Mus musculus: one gene and its partners. The protein of the gene in region 3 interacts with the protein of the main gene of each other region in a biochemical or structural test. Links are inferred from orthologs where the notes say so. Each region holds a gene or a part of one and is shown on either strand. Other genes may lie near its edges.

The links.
Region 1: of the proteins of Akt1 (region 3) and Akt1s1, one has a biochemical effect on the other in vitro, tested with the Homo sapiens proteins (2 studies listed by BioGRID). The link is inferred for Mus musculus from reciprocal best matches to the Homo sapiens genes AKT1 and AKT1S1.
Region 2: of the proteins of Akt1 (region 3) and Ptpa, one has a biochemical effect on the other in vitro, tested with the Homo sapiens proteins (2 studies listed by BioGRID). The link is inferred for Mus musculus from reciprocal best matches to the Homo sapiens genes AKT1 and PTPA.

The regions. Positions count from the first base shown.
Region 1 is NC_000073.6:44,852,164-44,855,970, forward strand, and holds the end of Akt1s1 (proline-rich AKT1 substrate 1), read left to right. Parts: intron 1-407; coding exon of another isoform or gene 408-414; coding exon 415-796; intron 797-1,616; coding exon 1,617-1,694; intron 1,695-1,775; coding exon 1,776-1,945; intron 1,946-2,428; coding exon 2,429-2,572; 3' UTR 2,573-3,258; downstream 3,259-3,807. UniProt on the Homo sapiens protein: Negative regulator of the mechanistic target of rapamycin complex 1 (mTORC1), an evolutionarily conserved central nutrient sensor that stimulates anabolic reactions and macromolecule biosynthesis to promote cellular biomass generation and growth.
Region 2 is NC_000068.7:30,439,990-30,443,598, forward strand, and holds part of Ptpa (serine/threonine-protein phosphatase 2A activator), read left to right. Parts: intron 1-1,863; exon of another isoform or gene 1,864-1,989; intron 1,990-3,300; coding exon 3,301-3,408; exon of another isoform or gene 3,409-3,460; intron 3,461-3,609. UniProt on the Homo sapiens protein: PPIases accelerate the folding of proteins. It catalyzes the cis-trans isomerization of proline imidic peptide bonds in oligopeptides. Acts as a regulatory subunit for serine/threonine-protein phosphatase 2A (PP2A).
Region 3 is NC_000078.6:112,671,423-112,675,648, reverse strand, and holds the start of Akt1 (RAC-alpha serine/threonine-protein kinase), read left to right. Parts: upstream 1-1,372; 5' UTR 1,373-1,649; intron 1,650-1,709; exon of another isoform or gene 1,710-1,943; intron 1,944-3,994; 5' UTR 3,995-4,087; coding exon 4,088-4,133; intron 4,134-4,226. UniProt on the Homo sapiens protein: AKT1 is one of 3 closely related serine/threonine-protein kinases (AKT1, AKT2 and AKT3) called the AKT kinase, and which regulate many processes including metabolism, proliferation, cell survival, growth and angiogenesis.

The DNA.
Region 1 (3,807 bases), on a different chromosome or scaffold from region 3:
GTGTGCATGTGTGACTTGAGCACTCAAGAACTGGATGCATGAGAATCGGGACTCCAAAGTTACCTTTATACACATAGTGAGTTTGGGTCCAACTTGAGTACTTGATCCTGGCTCCCAGAGTATTAAGAAACCAAACTAAATAACCACAAACCAACTTGACTCTAATGTTCATAGCCAAAACAGATGGAGACTCGAAGGCTTTGGGTAGTTCCTGTGTGGAACAGGATGGGGCCAGAAAGCAAGCTAGGACTGGGAAAGATCCCAGGGGAGACAGGTGTGGGAATTGGGGGAGCTCAGCTGGGACGGCCGCGTGCCGTGGAGGGGAGTTGCATTGCAGTAGTTGCCCCTCAGGATGAGGAGTGATGGTTGCGGCATCCTGAGCCCCTCTATCCTGCTCTGGCCCACAGGGCTCGGATGGCGTCTGGGCGGCCAGAGGAACTGTGGGAAGCCGTCGTGGGGGCCGCCGAGCGCTTTCAGGCCCGCACTGGCACAGAGCTGGTATTACTGACTGCAGCGCCACCGCCGCCGCCCCGCCCTGGACCCTGTGCCTATGCCGCCCATGGCCGCGGAGCCCTGGCAGAGGCGGCCCGACGCTGCCTCCACGACATCGCACAGGCGCACAGGGCTGCCACTGCCACCCGACCTCCTGGTCCCCCACCAGCACCACAGCCGCCCAGCCCTGCTCCTAGTCCACCACCTCGGCCAGCCCTGGCCAGGGAGGATGAGGAGGAAGATGAGGACGAGCCCACTGAAACAGAGACATCTGGGGAGCGGCTGGGCGGTAGCGATAATGGAGGTGAGCTAATAGGGCTGGCACTGCAGTGGGGTTGCTGGTTAACTGGACACTTGTCCAGGGTGTTCTGTGGGTCCTTGGCGCTGCATTCCTTCCAAGCCTCACACAAGAGCCAACCACTTGATGGGAGTAATAACACAATAATGTTGTGCAAATGTAGCACACCAGGGTTGGGAGATTGCCTTTGAGAGCTTCTTGTCTGGCCAAGCAACTGGTGAGAAGTGCGGGTGTTTCTGGAAAGGGGTAGGGGCTGCCATCCCAGCCAAGGGAGACACAAGTTTCCCAAGAGTGGGACATTGCTACAGCTGCGGAGGCCAGGGCTGGAGATGGTTACAAGTACACATCTCCTGGCATGTTAAGGCCAAAGACAGCATTTTCCATACCCCATGCCATCCCACTGTGGGCACCTGGGTCTAGGGACTGCTGTTTGGGGAGAATAAGGAAGTTGGATGCTTCTCCCAGAAAGTACTGTCACCACAGGACTTTGAGGAGTGAATGGGAGTTACTCATTTGCCATCATTGCCTGTGGCTGGCACCTTGCCTTTCCTAAAGAAGCCTGCCTTCCATGAAGGCTATGGGCCCTATACCCAGGTGTTCTGGTATCAGATCTTTGAAACCAAACTCAGGGAAGTGACATGGTATTGGGATCTTTTATTTGTCCCCACCAGACCATCTTTCTTTGGGAGTTATTTTTGGGCCATGTCCCAAGCACCATTTTGACTCTGGTAGTACCTGATAATGGGAGGGACCCTCAGTGACCAGGGAGGCAAATGAAAAAGTGTTGAGACCCGGGGGCCGACTGCAGGGCCTGTCTCCCCCTCAGGTCTCTTCATGATGGATGAGGATGCCACCCTCCAGGACCTGCCCCCCTTCTGCGAGTCAGACCCGGAGAGCACAGACGGTGAGGATCCTGGGTTGTCCAAGCCCTAGGAGGCCAGGCAGAGGGTAGGGGGGCAGAAGCTGAAGCTTCCCTGTATCATAGACGGCAGCCTGAGCGAGGAGACGCCCGCCGGTCCCACAGCCTGTCCCCAGCCCCCGGCCACAGCCCTGCCTACCCAGCAGTATGCCAAGTCTCTGCCCGTGTCGGTGCCAGTGTGGGCCTTCAAGGAGAAGAGGACAGAAGCCCGATCGTCAGATGAGGAGAATGGCCCGGTGAGGGGGGGAACGAGACAAGTGTTCTGCCGAGAGGAGCCCCACTGTAGTTTAGGAGAAAGGCCCCTCCCTCGTCTATCCAAAGTCGTTTGGGAGGGAGTCAGGGAAACTGAAGCTCCGGGTTAAAGCAGTGGTCTTTGGCTGGACTGCCCTGACCTGGCGCCCCCTTCACAGAAAACTCCCTAAAGTAGAGGGGACAACAAGGCACTGAGTGATCACATGACACCCCGCTCGGGGCGCCAGCGCCTTCATAGCTGCTCTACATATGGCAACCCCCTAGATTCAGGTGGGATGCCTGCTGTCTTGGCCGAAGCGTGGCCGGACCGGGCACCTTGCACTGGGCTCCTGCTTCTTAGCAGTGGTAGAGTTGAAGAAGGAGGTGGGATGCGGAACGTGCCGGTTCGCAGCCTGCAGGACAGACAGTCCGGAATGGCGGGCTTCCGGGAGGCGGGCCCTGCACACTGACAGTTTCCTTCTCTACAGCCCTCCTCGCCCGACCTAGACCGAATAGCGGCCAGCATGCGCGCGCTGGTGCTGCGGGAGGCTGAGGACACCCAGGTCTTCGGGGATCTTCCGCGGCCGCGGCTCAATACCAGCGACTTCCAGAAGCTGAAGCGGAAATATTAAGCGAACAGAAAGCCTTGGCCTGCGAGAGGCCACTGCCTCTCGGCCCAGCAAGAGAACAATTCTTTCCGGGATTGGCTGGCTCAGGTTGGGCGGGGCCGGTTCTAAACGCTCCAAGGGTCAACTCTGTTTCTTGCCTAGCAAACGAAGCTTTGCCCGCACAGCCTTGACTCGCGGCCCCAGGGCGGAGCCCAGCTGCGGGAGCTGCCGCTGCTCAGCCAGTGTCGGGAAGAGTTGCCCGCCAGCCTTCCAGAGTTCCCCTACCCGATTGGTCCCGGCCTCCTGGGAGTGTGGCCAAGCCCTCCCTAACCCAGAATTGGCCCGAGGCCTTTAATTTCTTACACTACTAGGGCTGTTAATCAATTGTTTTTGTTTTTGTTGTTTTCTTTGCCTGAGTCCTGACAATTGTATCCCGGTTCCCCAGGGGACAGTCTGGGTCCCTCTCTGGTCTGACGCTCCCTATAGGTTCCACCGCACGACAGCCTGTCCATCAAAACTTGTCCTGTACCCAGGACAGTACCAGCTTCCTGTCCCCCGACCCTAACAGGTGCCTTAAAAGGCCCTCTCCCACCCAAGGTGGGGGGGCCAGGGGGGCCTCACTTTCCGGCCCTAGACTTGGGTGCGGGAGAGTGGGATGGGGGTAGGGAGGGGCGCTCTGAGATTAAAGTTTTACCTCTGACTAGTGAGTTCGTGTTGTGTGTGAGTGTGATGCTATGAAGCGTTCATGACAATTAAATGAAGTTCAGGGTTCGACACCCAGTCTTGGGGGCGTAACTGTGGGAGCGGTAGAAAGGCAAACCAGGGAATCTCCATTTCCCAACATCCAAAGATGAGAAAGGGGGCTAGAGGGGCTAGAGGACTGTCACCTTCACACTATTAATATTAATATGGATTGCCTCCCTTTTGTTACTTTGCTTTTTGGGATGATTTCACTTTGTAGCCCAGCCTTTCTCTTCAGTTTTTGTGCTGGGATTTCCAATCTGCCCCATCATACCGAGCTTTAGCGTATTTGTCCCAGAATTAGAAGCGATTTTCCCACTTTATTGCAAAGGGACCGGCATCATAGAAGCAAAGGAAGAGTGTATAGTGATGCTATGCGCTTCAAATGCTAAGGACAAGCTGGTTTGTTTCCGCTGCTACGCAGAGGAATGATGAAGGCGCACATCTGTCATTCCATCAGCAGGGAGATGGGTTTAAGGAGGCACAGGTGTTCACGTCAGTCTAGACTTTTTGAGACC
Region 2 (3,609 bases), on a different chromosome or scaffold from region 3:
GGCTGAGGGGTTAAATTGTAGTTGTTAGTTAGACTTGGTGACCCGCAGCAGGCCTAAGAGGGTGCCATGCAATGTGTTAGGGTGCAATCAAGTTAGAGGTTATGGACTCAGGTTGAAATCCCTAGAGGAGCTGCAGTGCTGGGAGTAGTTCTGTCTCTCTGTACCTCAGCAGTGTTCGAGAGGTGAAAACAAGCAGCCTGTGGTGGCAGTCACTGGGTCCAACATCACCTGTGGTGGCAGTCACTGGGCCCATACTACTCAGCACATTCCCTAACTGGAAGTACTTGTCTCACCGAGGCAGGATTCCCTACAGTATAGTGCTGGAACACTCCCCAAGGTAGCCCACGGACTCTGAAAACTCTTGGCTTTGGGCCCATGTCAGCTTTCCCTCTCAGAATCTTGTGGACAAGAGCCAGGAGCTCATCAAGGGACCCAGAGTCTCAGGGCCTTGATTCTGGGAGGTGTTAGAACTTGTCATTCTCTCTGCCTATACCTATCAAGTCTCACCCCAAGTTCACAGGGTCCTGGCTTCTCTTTCTGTGCCTCCTGCATGTTTGCCCTGTGGAATTACATGTGGTCTCCCGACTGGATGCTACTCTCTTGGCTCCCTGTTCTGAGCCTCTGAGCAGGGAAAAGCCTGGTTAGCAGCCTTGACTCTAGGTTCTTTCTGGTCAGCATTTGCCTCAGGGTTGTGCCAAGCTCCAGGGGCCAGAGGGGAATGACACATTTTTTTCCAAGTCAGCAAATGGAGCAGGGACTGACGGCTGGGCGGCCACTACTTGGTTCTTGGAGATAATGCTGCCTTCAGCAGTGTGGCAGGCTCAAGGTCAGAAGGACTGGGGGCAGCCTGGCTCACTGCCTTGAAAGATAGCTTTGCAGGACTTGAGCGTGCAGCGAGGGGCTAGGGAGGATCTAGGGTGAGAGCTAGGGCTGAATGGGAAGGAGCTTCAGATTCTGCAGAGCTTGCTGCTTGAGGCCAAAGCCTGAGCTGTTACTGCTTCCTCTGGCGGCTGGCCAAGCCCCTTGCGTCCCTGTCAATAATTCTAACAAGGAGGCTAGCGAGACTGGGCTTCAGGGACTGGAGATCGATGGATTCCATGCTAAGATTTAGTGTGTGTGTTTGTTTCGGCTGATATAAAACCCCAAAACCTTTTCCAAAGTTTGGAATGGAGGACCCCATAGACGGTAGTCCAAATAACCACAAGGAGGCGCTAAAGTGCACTGAACTCTGGTGGCTTCAGTAACAGAGGTAGGAAGTGGGAGGGGAGCTTTTTAGTGGTTGTGCACCTTCTCTGCTAGGCTTGGTTTTCTCTTGGTTCCAGGCTCTTGGGTCAGTCAAGCTCTGGTTGGTTGCTAGGCACTGTGGTGGCAAGGGCATGCTGCCTGCCTGGGTTGGGCAGTTGTAGCGCTCTGCTGCTGCTGCTGTTCACAGATAGACAGCTAAACAGACAGAGAAATGGATACAGATGTATAGATATTCCCCACCCCTACTTGATGAAGTTGGCAGTTTTTACTTATAACCCCCATCAGGAAGTGAGCAGTCTCACCCAGAGGGCACAGAAGCCTACAGGGTGTTCAGGGCTTTTGGTCAGGGAGACCTGCAGTCTTTACTGCTCAAACAAAACCCAAGGAAGTTGGGAAGGAAACCACTTCTCTTTGCTGGGTCTTGTGTCAGGACCGCTTTGCTAGTAGTACTGGATGTGACAGCGGAGGAAGCCCACCTTGCGGGGCTCCAACTGCTTCAGGAAATGTAGCCCTGGCGCCTTTAAGAGCCAAGGGCAGGCAGGAAAAGAATTTCAGTTTCAATCTGGCTTCTAAATTTGGAGTTTTGGGAAGGGAGGGATCAGATTTCAGCTGGAAGGGAAGGAGCTGACAGGAAGGCGCTGTGCTGAGCCTCCCCCACCCTGCCCATCCCCCCAGTTACTGACAGAGGAACCATTTACAAAAGGCCGATTCTCTGGGGAGTGGAGAGGCAGGAACGCAGCGTCTGTGAGTAATTTCCTGCTCAATATGGCTGCTCTGACTCACACGATTCCCCTGGGGTCACTGCGGGACTGCAGTTGCTTGCTTGTTCTCGCTCTTTCTCTTCTCCCTTTGTGGCTAGAATGAGCTGATTTTTTGGGGGCGTCTTCTCACCCCCAATTTCTTTTCTCCCTCATTTTTTTTCCTTTCTCTTGAGTCGCAGAACCTCCTTCTGAAGGACTTGGGACCTGAGGCCCTGAAGGCCTTGAGGGTGAAGTGGCCTCTCTAGGGACATAACTGAGCTACACAACTTGGGCCTGCCTCTAGCTCTGCAGCCTGCCAGACAGCCCGTTTTGAATGTCCCTTGTTAGTGAGCAAGGCTGGTCCCCCAGGCAGGGTCCTTGCTGAGCCAGCCTGGAGCACCTGCTGTGAGACAAAGCAGGTGGTCATTCACTCAGGGGTCTGTAGGGGACCCTGTTTCATAGTTCCAGCCTGCAAGTGTGCAGAATTGGGGCAAGGAAGTAGAGAGATTGACGGTGGAGTCTTTGCAGGAGTGTTGGGATACATCTCGGAAGCTGAGGGCACTGTAAACTTTGCCAGGCTCACAGAGCCTTTCAGAGTCTTTCTGTGTAGTATGGGGCTGTCCTCTGAGCCCTGTTCCCCAAAATAAATGCTGCCTGTAACCTGGGGAGGGAGTGAGGAGGGCGTGCCAGGCTGCATGGCTAGTAAATACAAATGGACTGGCCTTGCACTCTCACTGGCAGGATGCACTTGGGACATAGGCTTCCCTATTCCTGTGCCCCAGCCGAGGCTCTGATGCCCCGGGACTGCACTGGACTGCAGTAGTGCTCTGCCTTCCTGCAGTCAGAGTTTGAGCACTGATGGACTATCCATGTGCCTGCTCGTCTTGTTGCTGTGGCTTTTTCTGCCCTACTCTTGACCTTGTTAAACAAACTTCCCTCCTGTACTGATCTGGAGCCTCCCTCTATCTCTGTCTCTGTCTCAGAGGACCAGATCCATCAGGGCCTGTCCACAGCCCCTTTCCTGTCCTCCAGGCAGGTCTAGACCACGCACCTACAGTGTGTCTGCATAGGAACACATTCTACTTTCTTAGGGTAGGGATGGTCTCTTCCTGGGTTGCTAAATTTGATAGACATTGGGATGGAGCCTCTGTTTTGTCTGTGTGAAAGAGGTAAGCAGAGGCTGTAGATGAGAGAAGTTCTGTTTTTTCAACAGGCCTTGTAGGTCAAGGCTGTGGTGTGTGTGTGCGTGCATGTGCGTGTCTGTGTGTGTGCACGCCTGCATACTGCCTCTCTAGTTCCTGGACTTCTTTTCCAGATGAAGACTGGCCCCTTTGCGGAACACTCCAACCAGCTGTGGAACATCAGTGCTGTCCCCTCCTGGTCTAAAGTGAACCAGGGCCTCATTCGAATGTATAAGGCAGAGGTGAGTGGGGGCTGGCCATCCTGCCTGCCCCTGATGGCGCTTGGTCCTGAGGGTGAGCTCATGACTTCTGATTCTTCATCACATTGTTTGCTCGGGCTCTGAGGCCAGCTGTCTGAAACTTGGGGACCTCAGAACCTGATGGATGGGCAGAGGCCCAGCTGATTTCTTCATAGCTTAGGGATTAAAACAGCCTAAGCTGCT
Region 3 (4,226 bases):
GGAGTCGCCTATCCCCCAACCCACTCCGGACTCGGGGGAAGATAGAGACACAAAGAAGGGAGGCGGGACTGGTTACTGCATAGAAACAGGGCTCACCACAGGTAGGAGCTGTCTCCAACAGTGGCTTCCAGGAAGAGCATCCGAGTGAGAAGGGTCACTAGAGAACAGCCAGAAATTGCTGTGTTCCACAAGAGGGCGCCCTGCTGGCTCTAACTGTGTAGCAACGGGATGGGGGAAGTAGGAGAGGAGGAGTTGGGGGCCTGGGGTGAAGGTTTGCTGGGCGAGTGATGGATATTTGTGTGACTCTCAGCCTCTGAAGGCCACTCTCAGGGTCAGGGATACTGCTGGAGCAGAACAGAACTGCTGCTGAGCCTCTGACTTAGCGCCCTGGAGGCTCTCTGAGCTGGGGCAGCTGTGCAGCAGATAGGGCACAGAACAGAGCCCCCCATCCCCATCCCCGTCTGAAGGGTATGGGGCGTGGCTGAGAGGAGAGTGAGTTCTTCTCCGGGAGTGGGGTGTGCTTCCCAGGTCAGCCCCAGGAGCCCGAGAAGGAGCTCCGATTTCCATCCTGGGCGATAGCGTGGACTACTAAATCTACCCTCTTGTTTACACTCCTGGTGAACTCTGACCCTTGTATGAAAAACAAAAAATGCCCCCTGGTTAAAAATACCAAACACATGAAGGTAAATTCACAAAAGGGTTACTATCAAGTCGGGCTTCTGGGACGAGGGAGGGGCCCTGCGCAGGAACTGCTGAGGCTGGCCGAAGGGGGAAGGACTGAGGATGGATAAGAGGCAGGAACCACCTTGACTCTTCAATTCCGGGACACCATAAGGAACCGCCCCCCAAGCCTCACCCATCTGAGTCCACAGCAAGGTCTTGGCTGACTGAGTCCTACCCCTGAATCTGCCCCCTCTGGGTGTCCAGGTGTGCTCCCGTCCTCCCTGTCACCTGGGGAGTCCTTATCAGTTGCTGTGGCAGGCAGTACTGGGTTGGATGAGCCCTCAATAGCCTTCTTTCTTGTGTTGGCTGGCCTTTAGGACACCGGTGACCGGTCTCTCCCGGCTCCCAAGATGGGGACAGTTGGGCCTCTTGAGAGTCAAACTGATTCACTTCCCACGCTGGCCTCCCTCCTTGGGGTCTGGAGAGCTAGGCAGGGAAGGGCCAGGTCCCACAAACCGGGAAACCCAGACCAGAGCTGGAGCTCTGGATCTGCGGCGGGGCTCCGTTACCCGCGTGGCCCTGGCTCGGGGCCACCCGAGGGCGGCGCCTGCGGGGCCGCGCTCGCGCTCACGGGGTGCCTCGCCCTGGCCGCGGGCCGCGCCGGGGGCGCCCGGGGCGGCGGAGGCGGATGTGGGCGGGCGGCGCGGGCGCGGGGCGGGGAGAAGGCGGGCCGGCGGCGGCGGCGGCAGCACCGAGTCGGCGGGCGGCCGGCCCAGCGCGGCAGCGCACGCGAGTCCGGGACCAGCGGAGCGGACCGAGCAGCGTCCTGTGGCCGGCACCGCGGCGGCCCAGATCCGGCCAGCAGCGCGCGCCCGGACGCCGCTGCCTTCAGCCGGCCCCGCCCAGCGCCCGCCCGCGGGATGCGGAGCGGCGGGCGCCCGAGGCCGCGGCCCGGCTAGGCCCAGTCGCCCGCACGCGGCGGCCCGGTGAGTGCCCGCGCCGCGCCCTGTTCCGGGCCGCGGCCACCCCGCTTTGTTCCCGGCCGCGCCGCGCCTCGGAGTAGGAGCAGGAAGTGGCCGAGCGGAGGCCTGGGCGGGGAGCGCGCGGGGCCGGGCTGGTCGCGCAGGAGGCCCACGCCGGCGAGGGTGCGGGCGGCCGCTGCGTGACCTTGGGTGGCCGCTCCACGGGGCCAGGTCGCGGGAGAGGGGCGCTGTTGGTGTGCGCAGTGGGGGCCGGTGCGCCCTGGGGCCTGGGGCTGCCCGGGCACTCGGCCAGCGAGGGTAGGAGAAAGGCTCGCCCCGCGGCCTGCGTGCGGTGGGAGGGCCCTGGGAAGGAGAACTCATTTCCCACGGACAGAAAGTTGTGCGCGGTGGCACAGTGCCCAGGCTAGCCCACAAAGGACTGCTAACCCTCCTGGGCCCGGAAGCTGCTTCCTGGACTAGGTGGTTTCTGGAGGTGCCGGGGGGGGGGGGGGCCTTGAGGACGGCGTGGACTCGGTCTCCCGGATCCGGGATACTGGCTGAGCTGATGGAATTGTCTAAAGAGGACTGGTTTCTAAGTTGGGCGGTGGTGGAACCTTGGGCCTCTGCTGTGTGGCCAAACTCCTCCTTCCCCCAGGCCCCTGGTCTTGCTCCAGGTGGCTAGCCTTGACTGCCTAGAGCCATCACTAAAGTGAAGGGCGAGTCGCCTTGGTGGGGCCCCAGCTGGGCGTGTGGCTCACGGGCCAGTGTCCCAGAGGGGCTGAACTCTTAAGACTTAACAATAGCAACCATATGCCCTTACGGCATGGCATGGTGGGAAGAGTGTCCCATGCTTAAGTCGGCTTGATGTGGACATTGGCGTTAACATGGCTGTGTTTCTTCACTCCGTGTGTATGAATTTATTTTTACACGGCTCTGGACAGCTGACTGTCATCAGCAGACCTTGGGGCTGGGTGGGGGTAGGGGACATCCACCGAGAGAGATCTTGCAGTACAGCCCTCTGCCTCCAGGCCACACCCACTCTGACAGTCACTGAGCTGGGATTTCTTCTTGGCTTATCTTTTTCGTTCTGGCTTTTAGTCGCCACCTGCTTGCTGAGGGAAGGGCTCTTTCCTTCTTGGGCCAGGTGTGGTCTTTCCTACTTTGGCATTTGGCATTTGACACATAGCAGCCGGCCTCCCTTTTGTTCCACATTTAGCTTCATACAAGGCAAAGTGACAGAGACTCTGGGTGCCAGCTTGTGTCTTCTGGGCTAGAGAGATGACATAGGGGGTTGCCAGTCAGCTGTAGTAGACCCTAGTTGGGATCTATTCCACGGCGGCCTTCCAGTCTTTTCCTGGGGATTGTCCACATGAACTCCAGGTGGAGGGACAACACAGGCTTGCTGGTCAAGGGCTGTTCAGGTGCACTTTCCCAGAATGTCCAGACTTGGGGATATTTGAAGGATACCTAGGTGTCCCTCTGGAAGAGAAGCAATTGGGGGGCGGGGGGATCTTTGCGAGGTGAGCTGGCACCCTTTGCTTTGCACAGGCTAGCTAGTTGGCCGCTGCAGGACCCTTGTGTGTTACCTGCCCTGTTTGTGGGCTCCCGGATACTGTAATTGTGGGTCGTAACCACTGCTTTGGGTGTTCCCAGCAGGCTGTCTCAGAGTCTCTCTGTCTCAGGCGTAGGGTGAAGGCTCGACAGAACCATATGTGCCTAGTGTGTACTCACCAAGTGAAGGGGACAGCTTCACAGGCAGGGTGCTGTGTTCCCAAGGGGTCTGGGGTTCTGCCTGAGGAGTTTTTAGTGTTGTCCTGAAGGACTTTGGGCTCAGCTTCATACCGTGCCTGTTCTACTTGTGCTCTCCAGTGTTGGCCTTCCCGCGTTCCTAACGTGAGCCGTAGGGACCCTGCGACCTGCAGTAGGCCTCCCAGACTGTAGGGGGTGGTGAGACAGTGGTAAGCACCCCTCACTAGTGCGAGGCAGAGCAGAAGCAGTCAGGGCTGCCTGGAGGAGGTGGCCTAATCTGCTGGGGTAGCAAATTGAACAAGCTGCCTAACAGGAAAAGCCTTCTGGAAATGAATGTTTCTAGCAGAGACCAGGATGATGGGGGTTGGCCACAGCCTTGCACCCCGGACTACCAGGCCTAGATCTGGGTGTGTAGCATCTACTACTGGAGGGAGGTCTTCTATAGCAACCTTTGGAGACACGTCAGGCAGGCTGGCAGGGAGTAAGGGTGAGGAGGGAACCTGGGAACCAGAGATGGGTAGATCACATGAGGGGACATGGGTAATTGTGGGCCCTCTGGGGCTCACGGAAGCTAGTCCCAAGTGGGACCTTGTCTCACGTGCTTTCTCGGCTTCTTCTAGACGCTGCGGCCAGGCCGGCTGGGCTCAGCCTACCGAGAAGAGACTCTGAGCATCATCCCTGGGTTACCCCTGTCTCTGGGGGCCACGGATACCATGAACGACGTAGCCATTGTGAAGGAGGGCTGGCTGCACAAACGAGGTAAGTCCGCACTCCACAGGAGAAGCAGGCCGGCCTGGGTCTGCCTAGCTCTTCAATGTGGAACCGGGGCGGGGGTGGTGGTGGTGGTGGTGG